3 linked regions of the Canis lupus familiaris genome follow. The protein of the gene in region 3 purifies or fractionates together with the protein of the main gene of each other region. This does not show direct contact. Links are inferred from orthologs where the notes say so. Each region holds a gene or a part of one and is shown on either strand. Other genes may lie near its edges. The genes, in order: RAB7A, DLAT and PDHA1.

Region 1 (4,256 bases), on a different chromosome or scaffold from region 3:
GCAGGCCTTCTGCTGGGGATTCCAGCTGTCTGAGGAGTGATCCTCCAGCAGTCTTAGGTAAGTTGCTAACATTGGAGTCCGGAATATAGGACTCCTGCTTTTCTGAAACTCAGAATCAGGTTCAGGAGACCAAGGGATAATTAAGACAGGAACCCTGCCTTAGTAAGTAAATAGGGGCAGATTTCTGGAATAGAGATAAGCAAAAATGAGGCATCTTACATATTGTCTAGCCAGGCTGCCTGAAAGGTTCTTTCTTTTCTTTTCTTTTCTTTTCTTTTCTTTTCTTTTCTTTTCTTTTCTTTTCTTTCTTTCTTTCTTTTTTTTTTGATTTTTTTTTATTTATTCATGAGAGGCACACACAGAGAGCGAGGCAGAAACACAGGCAGAGGGAGAAGCAAGCTCCATGCAGAGAGCCCAATGTGGGACTCGATCCCCCATCTCCAGGATCAGGCCCCGGGCTGAAGGCAGCCCTAAACCACTGAGCCACCTGGGCTGCCCTGAAAGGTTTTCTAGAAAAGGGTGATCTCAAGAGCTGCAGGTCAACAAGTATTGTTCTCACACCAACCCCAATTTTTTTTTAATTTTTTTTTTTTTTTTTTTTTTTATGATAGAGAGAGAGAGAGAGGCAGAGACACAGGCAGAGGGAGAAGCAGGCTCCATGCACCGGGAGCCCGATGTGGGATTCGATCCCGGGTCTCCAGGATCGTGCCCTGGGCCAAAGGCAGGCGCCAAACCGCTGTGCCCCCAGGGATCCCCCAACCCCAATATTTGATAATTGTTCTCTACTTGGCACTGGAGATGCAGTGGGGAATAAAACTGTCTTGGTGGAAGTTGTTGGAGAAGGGAGAAAACAAATTAATAGATTTGGATGTCAAGTAGTGGTAAGTGCTCTGAAGAAAAAAAGTAAGGCAATGTAAAGGGTTAGAGAGCAGATGGGGAGAGGGTGTGCCACTTTAGATAAAGTGATCATGTCTCTGAGGAAGTGCTATGTGAGCAGAGACTTGAATGAAGCAGGGCCTAGTTGTTAAATTGAACATTAATCCACAGTGATCCAGCAACATCTGAGAGGGAGAATCCATCCTTTTAGACTGCTCCAAGGGGCAGGATGACCCTGCCTCTCATGATTTTGCCCAGCTTGTGTCCAAAGTTCTAAGATTGATTCTGCTTTCTGTCTGGTCCCCCTGGGTGGCAGGGAAATAGCTAAATGGGAAGGCTTAGTGCTCCTGGGGCTGTGTTGATGCTTGTACAGAGGGATGAGGTTTGCCTGGGTATTTCTGTCACGCTCACAAGTACTTTCTCCTTTCTCCTTTTAGTTTGAAGGATGACCTCTAGGAAGAAAGTGTTGCTGAAGGTTATCATCCTGGGAGATTCTGGGTAAGTTTGAAGTAACAGATTGGTTTGGATTAAATGTGACTTTGAAGCCATGCCCTCCCTGCTCACATTTGCCACTTCTCTAATAGTAGTGGCAGTAGGGTTCTAGGTCTCTTGCCATTTCCAGCACAGCAGATTTTTTTTTTTTAAGCACAGCAGAAATTTTAATGATCTCTTAGTCTGTAATCCTTGGTTCCCTGGTCTTTGGCATGATTTAGGGGAAGGAGTAGCCATTTAAACTCAAGAACGGTTTCACTGGAATCTCTTTTTTCTGAGCTGATTAGACAAGGGAGTTCTGTTCATGTGTAGATTTGTTGCCACTGACCTCATGCCTACCAGTTGTGGGTTTGGAGTCTGGATACAGCTGTGCAGTATCTTCCCACTACTGGGTCTGATTTGGGGTGTATCTGAAAGAACCTGCGACTGGAAAACTGGGTTCTGATCCTAGATCTGCCACTAATTAAGTGACTAACTCTTCAGTAGCTGTTAACGATTCTGTGGGAGGCTTTTCAGACTCAGCATCTGATGTGACCTGGAAACCTTAGACCAACTAGAAGCTATGTATTTTTTTTAAATGATGATGATGATGATGATGATGATGATGATAAATCCAGGTGTGCCTCCTTACACGAAAGTTCCCTGCCCTTTAAGAAGGCAGTGATTTTTCTACCCTGTCTGGCTTTTCTGATTGCCCTGAGGAGCTTTTCAAAAGTAAGCATTTTTCCAGACCATTGTGTTGGGCCTCATTGGCAGTACTTAAATACATATATCTCTCTGTCTCCCTCCTCCCTCCTTCCTGGTGACCACTGTGCTGTCAGGAATGAAAGGTACTGTTTTAGGCCCAAACTTGCATGGGAAAAATCACCGGGCCTTTATTTGATTAGAGACCTCCTGACCTCTCCCCTGAAAATTCAGACCCAGGTGACCTGGATTGGAGAACACTGCCTTAAGCCATAACTTACTTCCAGGTCCTCTGCCTATGAAGATGAATATGTTCCTTAGAGGGAAAGGAAGGTGATCCTGTTGACTTGGAAGAAGACTTTTATGTTATCTTCAGCCTGCCCTAACTAATCTCATCACCAAAAAAAATCCACACATTGTCTCTTACTGAGTTTTCTTACTGAAAAACTTCCCTGGAGGAGCTTACTCTGAGGTAGATTCTGATTTGGTGGGAATATTGATGCTTTCCTCACTTCAGATTTTAATCTTTGAAGTAGCAGGTGGCTGACTGGCATATATGTCTGCTCATAGCCAGTGACTTTCTCCTGCTATTACTTTCTTGGACTGAATATCAGCCCCTAAATGGAGAGACACCCAGGACAGCAGAGATATTTTTAGAATGGTGGCAGGATCTTATTGCTGTAGCTTCTTTTAGAAAGAGAGTATTTGCTGACATCTTTCTGGAAGGAAAAAAATAATACTAAGTTCTACCATCTGAGTTACTTGTACCAAAACTTAAGAGCAGCTTTTCAACATCTGATCCACATCTATAGCCCTGTACTTTTGTTCCAGGAGAAAATAAAACCTCGAATGAGTAACACTGAGCAGTTTGCTGGCACTATCCTCTGTTGTGATTACAGTTGCTTGTTATCCTTTAAGCTGGCAAGTATCTTCAGAGCTGCAAATATCAGAATCATTTTTCTGCCCCTTCTAACTTGACCTATACTTGTGGTTTTTCTCCAATTTCAGAGTTGGTAAGACATCACTCATGAACCAGTATGTGAACAAGAAATTCAGTAATCAGTACAAAGCTACAATAGGAGCAGACTTTCTGACAAAGGAGGTGATGGTGGATGACAGACTAGTTACAATGCAGGTAAGCACACATCTCAACTTTGTCACCCAAGCCTTGTTCATTCAGTCTGAACTCTTTTGTTCATGCCTAGGCATTTTCCCACCCCATTCCTCATTTCCCACTACTATATTCATGGATAATTGGTCGCAGGTAGGATGGCCAGATACAAATACAGGACATCAGGTATGACCCAGGCATTGCATGAGACATACTAGAAATTTTTCATTGGTTTTCCAAAGTTCAAATTTAATTGGAGTTCCTGGTTTTTTGTTGGTTTGGTTTGTGTTTTTTGTTTTTGCTGAATTTGATAACATACAGGCCCAAACTTTTGTCTCCAAAATGTTTAACTCATTCCTTTCTCTTAATATCCCCACATGGGGGACGCCTGGGTGGCTCAGCAGTTGAGCGTCTGACTTTGGCTCAGAGCATGATCCCGGGGTCTGGGATCAAGTCTCGAATCAGGCTCCCCTTGGGGAGCCTGCCTCTCTCTCTGTCTGTGTCTCTGGGTGCTCCCCCCCCCGCCCATGTCTCATGAATAAAGAAATAAAATCTTAAAAACAAAAATCGCCACATAGTATTTTAGGTCAGAATATCTTTGGGTCTCTCCTAGATTCTTATAGTAGCTGTTAATGTAGTTTCCCTGTTTTTCTGACTTTTAATCTGTCCTATCTATAGCCACCAACTTTGTATTTCTGTTAAGTTAGCCTGGCTTTTTTGTGTATCACCTTACTTTAATCTTTCAGGGGGTTTCCCTTGCAACAGTTAGGATAAAATACACATTCCTTAATATGACCTTTTGAAAGTCTTTGCATTCTGACTACAAACTATTCTTCACTTTTTGTCTTTTTCCAGTCCTTCCAAACCATGTGCTGCTTTTAACAAGCTGTCGTTGCACCTGTCTGCCTCCATCCCAACCCCTTTGTCCCATCTCCATCCCAACCCCTTTGTCCCATCTCCATCCATCCTGAAAAGTCTCCAACTTTTAGCCTAGGTGTTGTCTTTTGAAATTCCTATCTCCACAGCAGTTGTTCCTTCCTGTATTTTTTTTTCTAAGATTTTATTTATTTATTCATGAGAGACAGAGAGAGTC
Region 2 (3,646 bases), on a different chromosome or scaffold from region 3:
AAGAAATCTGCTGGTGGATACATATACCTTGACCAGCAGTATCTTACTTACTGTCTTATAACTGTGTCCAGCCAAGAGGAATTTGCTTCAGGAACTTTTAAACATGCCAAAGCTGAAGCTTTTATGATGAAGTCATTGACAGAAATTTTGCTTCTCCCTTCTAACATCTGCAAAGACAAGAAACCATCGTAGTTTCTTAAACTCTCTTCCCAAACACTGAAACATAACCTCTGGCAGGGACTTGGGGGGGGGGGGGGGGGAGAATACAAATGTCCTGAGGTATAAAGGATGAAATGAAATTAAAAGTTGGTTTTTTCATCTTTTTAATGTAGGCCTTTTTGTAGGTCTTTAATGTAGGTCTGTAGCTATAAGCCTCCTACTAAGTCCTGCTTTAGCAGTATCCCTTAAGTTATGGTATGTTATGCCTTCATTTTCACTTATCTGAACAAAACCAAAAGTTGGTTCCGTGAAAAGATCAACAAAATGATAAATGTTCAGCTAGACTGACAAAGAAAAAAGAAGACTCATATTTCTAATCAGAAATGATGTGGGACGTTACTACATAACCTACCAAATAAATTGTAAGGTAATGCTATAACAATTATCCCACAAATTAGATAATTTAGATGAAATGGAAAATTCCTAGAAAGATACAAGCTGCCAAAACTGAATCAAAAAGGAATAAAACCTCTGAATTGATCTGTAACTAGTAATAGAGACTGAATAATTTTAAAAATACCCACACAGAACAACTTAGACCCAGATGACTTCCCCAAATGGTGAATTCTGCTAAACATCTGAAGAATATCAATTCTTCACAAAATCTTCCAAAACACAAAAGAAGGAGCACTTCTCCACTCATTCTGACACACCAGTATTAACCCAATACCAAAACCAGACCAAGATATCACAGTAAAAAAAAAAAAAAAAACACACACACAAAAAACAAAACCCAGAAAAAATAAAACTCAAATACCTAGGAATACAGATCCAAAAACCCTCAAAAAAATTCTAGCAAACCAAATCCAGCAATATATGAAAAGGATTATTCACCACAGCCAAATGGAATTTGTCCCAGAAATGCAAGGTTGGTTAACATCTGAAGATCAATTAATGTAATAATGTCAGAATATAGGACAAAAATCACATGACCATCTCAATAGACACAGAAAAAGCTTTTGAGCAAATTCAACTACCACTTCATAAAAACTAGGAATTGAAAAAAAAAAAAAAAAACAAACAAACTAGGAATTGAAAGGAACTTCCCACATCTCATGATAAAACAGATCTACAAAAGTCCCACAACCATCATCATTGTACTTTAGTGAAAGACTTACTTCCTCTTACGATCAAGAACAAGACAACTTCCAGTCAACATTTTACTAGATGTGCTAGCTGAAGAAGTTGGGTGAGAAAAGGAAATAAATGACATCCAAATTGGAAAGGAAAAAGCAAAATTATCTCTATTTGGAGACGAATGATTTTGCATATAGAAAATCTTAAAGAAAAAAAAAAAAAGAAAATCTTAACACTAAATAAAAAACAAGGTTTTAGGATACAAGAGCAATACACAAAAATCAACAGTATTGCTCTATAATAGCAATAAACACTCTGAAAATGAAATTTATAATAGTATTAAAAAGAATAAAATATCTAGGAATAAATTTAACAAAAGAAGTACAAAAACTTATACTTGAAAAACTGTACAAATTATTGAAAGAAGTGAAAGAAGACCTAAATAAATGGAAAGACACTCCATGGTCATGGAGTAGGAACAGTACTAAGAAGACAATACTCCCCAAATTATTTACAGATTCAATGAAATCCCTATTCCTACAGGAAATACCCAAAACAAGCAGATCTAAGACAAAAAGTAGGTAGTGATTATCTAGGGTTGGGGAAGATGGGAGGATTGGAGTGGGGGCTAAGGTAATGGGAGAATGATTTCATTTTGGGGTGATGAAAATGTTCCAGAATCCATTGTGATGGTCATAGAACTCAGGATATACTAAAAGCCACTGAATTGTAAACTTTAAGTGGCTGAATGGTATATGTGAAATGTACCTAAATAAAACTGTTAAAAAGAATAAAATAATACACTGGATGCATACTTTTCATGTCTAATTTTCAAATAGATTATAAAATAGCTTTACCATTTTGCTAGTAAAAGCATGCAATCATCTTTAAGCCATATAGCCAGTTACTACCTGTTAATGCTTCTTGCTTTATTCATTCATGCATCTAATATTTGAGTACTCTGTTCTAAAAATCCCTGGATATAAAGCAGTGGAAAAAAATGGGTAAAAATTCTACTCTTAGGGATCTTACATTCTAAAGGAGTAGACAGATAATAAATAAATGAAATATATAATATGTAAGATAATGTTAAAGAGAAAAAAACAGAGGAAAAGAACTAATGGGAAAACTGATTACTCACCCCATTCCTCTTCCCTTAATTTTAGAATAAGGTAACCAGGGAAGATGAGAGAAGGTGATACTGAGTCAAATCCTTAAGGTGGTAAAGGAAGAAACCAGGTGGATGCTAGGGGAAGAATATTCCATGCAGAGGGAACAGTACGTGCAAAGGGACTAAAGTAGGAGTATACAGGCAGAGTGTCGAGGAACAGGAAGACAATTTTTTTCGAGCAGAATGAGCAAGGAGTGGAGTGGAAAAGCAGGAGGTCAGAGAGGTTATAGATAACCTGTATAATGCTGAGTGCCACTGGCTTTTACTTTTCACTTCTTTGAAAACAGTTTTCATATCTCCTCCTACTCAATTCTTTTTTTTTTTAAGATTTTTTTTTTTTTTTTTTTTTTTTTTAAATTCATGAGACACACAGAGAGAGAGAGAGAGAGGTAGAAACACAGGCAGAGGGAGAAACAGGCTCCCTGCAGGAAGCCCGATTCGGGACTTGTTTTGGGAACCCAGGACCACGCCCTGAGCCAAAGGCAGACAACCACTGAGCCACCCAGGTGTCCCTCCTATGCAATTTTTTTTTTTTTTTAAAGATTTTATTTATTTATTCATGAGAGACACAGGCAGAGGGAGAAGCAGGCTCCATGCAGGGAGCCCAATGTGGGACTCGATCCTGGAACTCCAGGATCGTGCCCTGGGCTGAAGGCAGGCGCTAAACCGCTGAGCCACTGGGGCTGCCCACTTACGTCCTTTTTAAAAAGCATTTTGCCTTTATGATATTCCATCAGTATAATGAACTATCTTCAACTTCTTTGCCAATGCAAACCCTTCCTGTTCTCCATAGCTTAATCAAGTTTTTCCCACACCACTGTGAATTCCCCAACTACTTTTATTGGTGTCCTCCTTCTCTGAATTCCTAGAACACTTAACCTATACAGTGTAATTTAGCAGTCAAGGGGCATTACCATAAAGAAATTGACCTACCAACGGGTATTTTTACTTTAATAAAAATTGCCTCTTCTGTTTTTCACATGCATTATCTCCATTAGATTAAAAACTTAAGCTCATGGAGGACTATGACTTATGCTGTATTCCTAAAAGTGCCTCATGCTAAGCATAAGTAGGTAGTTGGTACTTAACTGTAAACAGAGTAAACATACTGTTTCTTATCTAGCCTCATAGAATCATAGTGATTGTGCTAGGCTAAAATGGATCCGTGGCAAAATCAAC
Region 3 (4,345 bases):
TTCTTAATGCTAAAAAATCATTGTTAGATGAAAGGAAACACACTTGAAACCGTCATGAACTGGGTAAGTTTCTTATTCCACAGATTGCCAAGTTCCCATTCTGGGTTTGACACTTTGATTTGCAAAAGTGTCTTTAAAAATAAGTAAGCATACCAGATGTTACTCCCATCAAGACAGAAACAACCACTTTCTAAGCACAGGTGATACAAATAAGTTTAAGGAATTTGTCTTTCAAAAAACTCATTGTATAAAGTAGGTGTTTAATATCTTAGAGAACGTAAGGGAAAATGTTGTACTGTCACTGTCTCTAATCGTTTTTATTTTAAGATTTTATTTATTTATTCATTAGAGACACAGAGACAGAGACAGAGAGGCAAGAGACATAGGCAGAGGGAGAAGCAGGCTCCATGCAGGAAGCCCAATGTGGGACTCAATCCCGGTACTCTGGGATCACGCCCTGAGCTGAAGGTGGAAGCTCAACTGCTGAGCCACCCAGGCATCTCTCTAATGGTTATTTTTAAAAAAACTAATTAAATAGAAGAAATGTTATACATAGGAATCCATTTCCGCTGTAATAATCTTTTCTCTCAATAACAATTTTTGACTAAATGAAGTTATATTCTACTCTGATCTTATCCAGTTAACAAATTACTAGAACTCAAAATTCATTTTTTTAAAAATATTTATTTATTCGAGAGGGGGGTGAGGGGGGAGAGAGAGAGAGAAAGAGGCAGGCAGAGACACAGGCAGAGGGAGAATCAGGCTCCATGCAGGGAGCCTGACGTGGGACTCGATCCCAGGTCTCCAGGATCAGGCCCTGGGCTGAAGGCAGCGCTAAACCGCTGAGCCACCTGGGCTGCCCTCAAAATTCATTTCTATTTGATTTGGGCAGTAGTATATGATTTTTTGAAGAGACCAAAGTTTTATGGAGATGAAGCATTTCATGCCAACGCATTGCTGGAAGACTGAAAAACACAACCAGAAATATTTTGGATAGCCGAGCAAATGAGCCTCTAATATTAATGGCTTCTCTCTGTTCCTAGGGACACAGAGATGACAGTAATTTGAAACGCATACACTAATTTTTTTCTGTAGAACATCACCAATTCTATCAAAGTTTTTCCTTTCTACTACAACCCTTTAAATTTAACATGATACAAAACTAAGATTCTCATATAAAGTTGAACACGTGTTTCCATTACTTACATTCAACTAAAAACTGAAGTTGTGGAGATTAAATAGCCTAGCATCTGGCACATATTAAGATCTCAAGAAATGTTGGATCTATCATGTGATATACAGAAATAACACTGAAATGAGCTTATCCTTTAGGTGGATCTAGTTGCAATTAAATGCTAATGACTGATGAACCAAATTGTGTTTTTTTTCCCCCCAATTATGTTTTGTAGTTATTTCAGTCAATGGGATTCCCAAAAGGGTATACTTCCTACCTTTCAATGATTTCTGCCCACAGTAAGCAGAACTGCCACAAAGTCCTGGAAGTTACTAGAACCTGAACTGCAAGTCAAGCTTGGCTACAGTTCTACCCAGTAATACTACCTCCCCATACCTAGAGGTCAAAATGCTGGAAGGCTTGAGGCACATCTAAAAACTGGAGCCATAAATAGTGCTGACCTCTAACCCCACTCTCCCAAGCACCAAAGCTGTTTTCTTTAGCTACTTTTACCCTAAGCGTGTGCGTGTAAGAAGGGCAATTTCCTCCGGGTTCTGCTTGACTGCTCTTGGAAGTGACTGCCAAGAAAAACTCAACACTGTGGGAAAGGAGGGGTGGTGATTTCTGGTGAGCATGACCCAGACTTAACCCTCCAGAGCTGGGTGAAGGTGTTTCACAAATGTATACCCAAGGGGGCACTGAAGTAACATTTTTAAAAAAGATTTTATTTATTCATGAAAGACAGAGACATAGGCAGAGGGAGAAGCAGGCTTCCCGTGGGGAGCCTGATGTGGAACTTGATCCCAGGACCCCGGGATCACTACCTGAGCCAAAGCCCTACTCTCAACCACTAAGCCACCCAGGTGCCCCTGAAATAACATCTAACACAGATAGCACCTACTATATACCAGGCGCTATTTGGCAAGGTTTACATATATGTCAAGAGTTTAAGCTTCAGGACAACCCCTTGGGGTGAATACTCGTATTATCTCTTTAGAGAGCTGGAAACCGAGCAAGGGAGATTTAAAACAAAAACCTGCCTAAGCTCACAGAGCTAGTAAATGGTGAGGCAGGTGTTTGAACAGGACCAGTTTCTGAAGTTCACGTTCTTAACACACCACGTGGCCTCTTAGTCAAGAAGAACAAAATTAGGAAGACTTCAAATGAATGGGCAGGATCAACTGGGGACTCGTGGATGCCCCAGGCCCCCTTTTCTGTCAGCAGTAAATGAACGGGCATTTCTGGAGCACACCTACTGTAGCCAGCGCCGGGAGTCACAGCTGACCTCCCCGTGGACCTGGTAGAGCTCCCCTCCCCCCTTTTGCGGCTGATGGGCCCAGCAGCCGCTAGTCCCGGAGCAGGGAGCCGAGTGCCAGGCGCGAAGGCAGAACAAAAGGCCCGCTACCCTCCGGCCGCTCCGCAGCGCCCTAAGAGGCACCACACCGCGCGCCCCCAAGCCCTGGCCGTACTCCCGCGTCGGGCCCCGCCTCGACCCCGCTCGCGCCCTACCCCGGGCCGCCCATGCTGCTGCCTCACCGGCTTCTGGGAGACGCCCGACAACACGCGGGAGACAGCGGCGAGCATCTTCCTCATGGATTGCCGGCAGCGGCGGCGGCGTAGGCGACTCCCAAGTACACAGGCGGCGCGGCCCCGAAATCTCCCAAGTCTCCTTCAGGCGCCCGGAGCGGACGCCACGCCTTAACTGCAGCACGACCGACGAAACGGAAATTCGTCACGCGCCGCGCCAGGCCGCAGGCCAACCAAGCGGGCTCCCAGTTGCGTGTCCCGCCCACCGAAGAGGTCCGCGGCCGCTCATTGGGTGTTGGCGCCATAGGGGGCGGGCACTGGGGGGCTCGTTGCGTCATCACGTCACGGGCGGGCGGGGATGCGGGAACTTGAGGGCGTCCGCCTGGGAAAGTGGAGCCCCGCCTCCGGAACCCCGCGGGAAAATGGCTTTTCATGGAGTTTTGCGACTCAGGTTAGGCGTGCACGGCGGGAAACCGTACGGGCCACCTGCCGTGCGCCCAGTCTCGCCGGGGCTGCACTTTGGCAGCCTTCGTTCAATGCACGGCAAGATGAAGACTCATGGCGTGGTCGGAGCCGAGACGGAACCTCTGGTTTCTGTAAATGGTTCTGCTGCTAACTTGTCTTTAAGAGATCATGTAACAGTTGTAAAATGCTGCCCTGTGTACTTGAGTTACGATCTAAAAATCAATTCCCCAAGTAAATATTGAGAGATCAGCTGGGAAAAGCCTTTAGCTCTAGTTACTGGTTCGCGAGCTCAACGGGAGTTAACAGCCGCATGACACAGCTGATAATAAAAGCACACACAAAGAAGCAAACACAAAAATAAGTCTAGGCTCGATTCAGTGAGTTCCCAGGTCAGAGAGCTGACTGTGGGCCAGTGGGGTTACACCTGGGATACTAGGTTCAGATTTGGGGTCCCCATGTAAGGGGAATGTTGTCAAAAATGGGTGGAATCCAGGGGACAGTGGTCAGAATGGTGAGAGGCTGAAACCACAATTTGAACTCCAAGAACTTGAACCGACTCAAGGACTCAAGTCACCTTGTTTACACTTCAGGTCCCTCACGGCTTGGCTGGGATCTGCTCCATGTCATCTTCACTCTGGCACTCAAACTGATGGAATAGCATCTGTCAGCAACTTACTGTACCTACTGTACCGTAAAAGGCAAAGGGATCATTTAAACTGGCTCTCAGGGCAGCCCTGGTGGCTCAGCAGTTTAGCGCCGCCTTCAGCCCAGGGCGTGATCCTGGGGTCCCCGGATCGAGTCCCACGTCAGGCTCCCTGCATGGAGCCTGCTTCTCCCTCTGCCTGTGTGTCTGCCTCTCTCTCTTAAAAAAAATAAATAAATAGGGATCCCTGGGTGGCGCAGCGGTTTGGCGCCTGCCTTTGGCCCAGGGCGCGATCCTGGAGACCCGAGATCGAATCCCACGTCAGGCTCCCGGTGCATGGAGCCTGCCTCTCCCTCTGCCTGTGTCTCTGCCTCTCTCCCTTTCTCTCTCTGTGACTGTCATAAATAAATAAAAAATAAATAAATAAATAAACTGGCTCTCAAAGCTTCTACCCAGAAGTGACACATGTCATGTCCTCTCAATTTCCATAAACCAGAGCTAGTCACACAACCGTATCTGAGTTCAACAGGTTGAAG

What was found.
Region 1: the proteins of PDHA1 (region 3) and RAB7A fractionate together in Homo sapiens (co-fractionation; 3 studies listed by BioGRID, with this or other methods). This does not show direct contact. The link is inferred for Canis lupus familiaris from reciprocal best matches to the Homo sapiens genes PDHA1 and RAB7A.
Region 2: the proteins of PDHA1 (region 3) and DLAT fractionate together in Homo sapiens (co-fractionation; 3 studies listed by BioGRID). This does not show direct contact. The link is inferred for Canis lupus familiaris from reciprocal best matches to the Homo sapiens genes PDHA1 and DLAT.

What each region holds. Positions count from the first base shown.
Region 1 is NC_049241.1:2,782,001-2,786,256, forward strand, and holds the start of RAB7A (ras-related protein Rab-7a), read left to right. Parts: upstream 1-1,312; 5' UTR 1,313-1,321; coding exon 1,322-1,374; intron 1,375-3,060; coding exon 3,061-3,187; intron 3,188-4,256.
Region 2 is NC_049226.1:21,103,734-21,107,379, forward strand, and holds part of DLAT (dihydrolipoyllysine-residue acetyltransferase component of pyruvate dehydrogenase complex, mitochondrial), read right to left. Parts: intron 168-3,646; coding exon 52-167; intron 1-51.
Region 3 is NC_049260.1:15,414,592-15,418,936, reverse strand, and holds the start of PDHA1 (pyruvate dehydrogenase E1 component subunit alpha, somatic form, mitochondrial), read right to left. Parts: upstream 2,891-4,345; 5' UTR 2,768-2,890; coding exon 2,711-2,767; intron 1-2,710. UniProt on the Homo sapiens protein: The pyruvate dehydrogenase complex catalyzes the overall conversion of pyruvate to acetyl-CoA and CO(2), and thereby links the glycolytic pathway to the tricarboxylic cycle.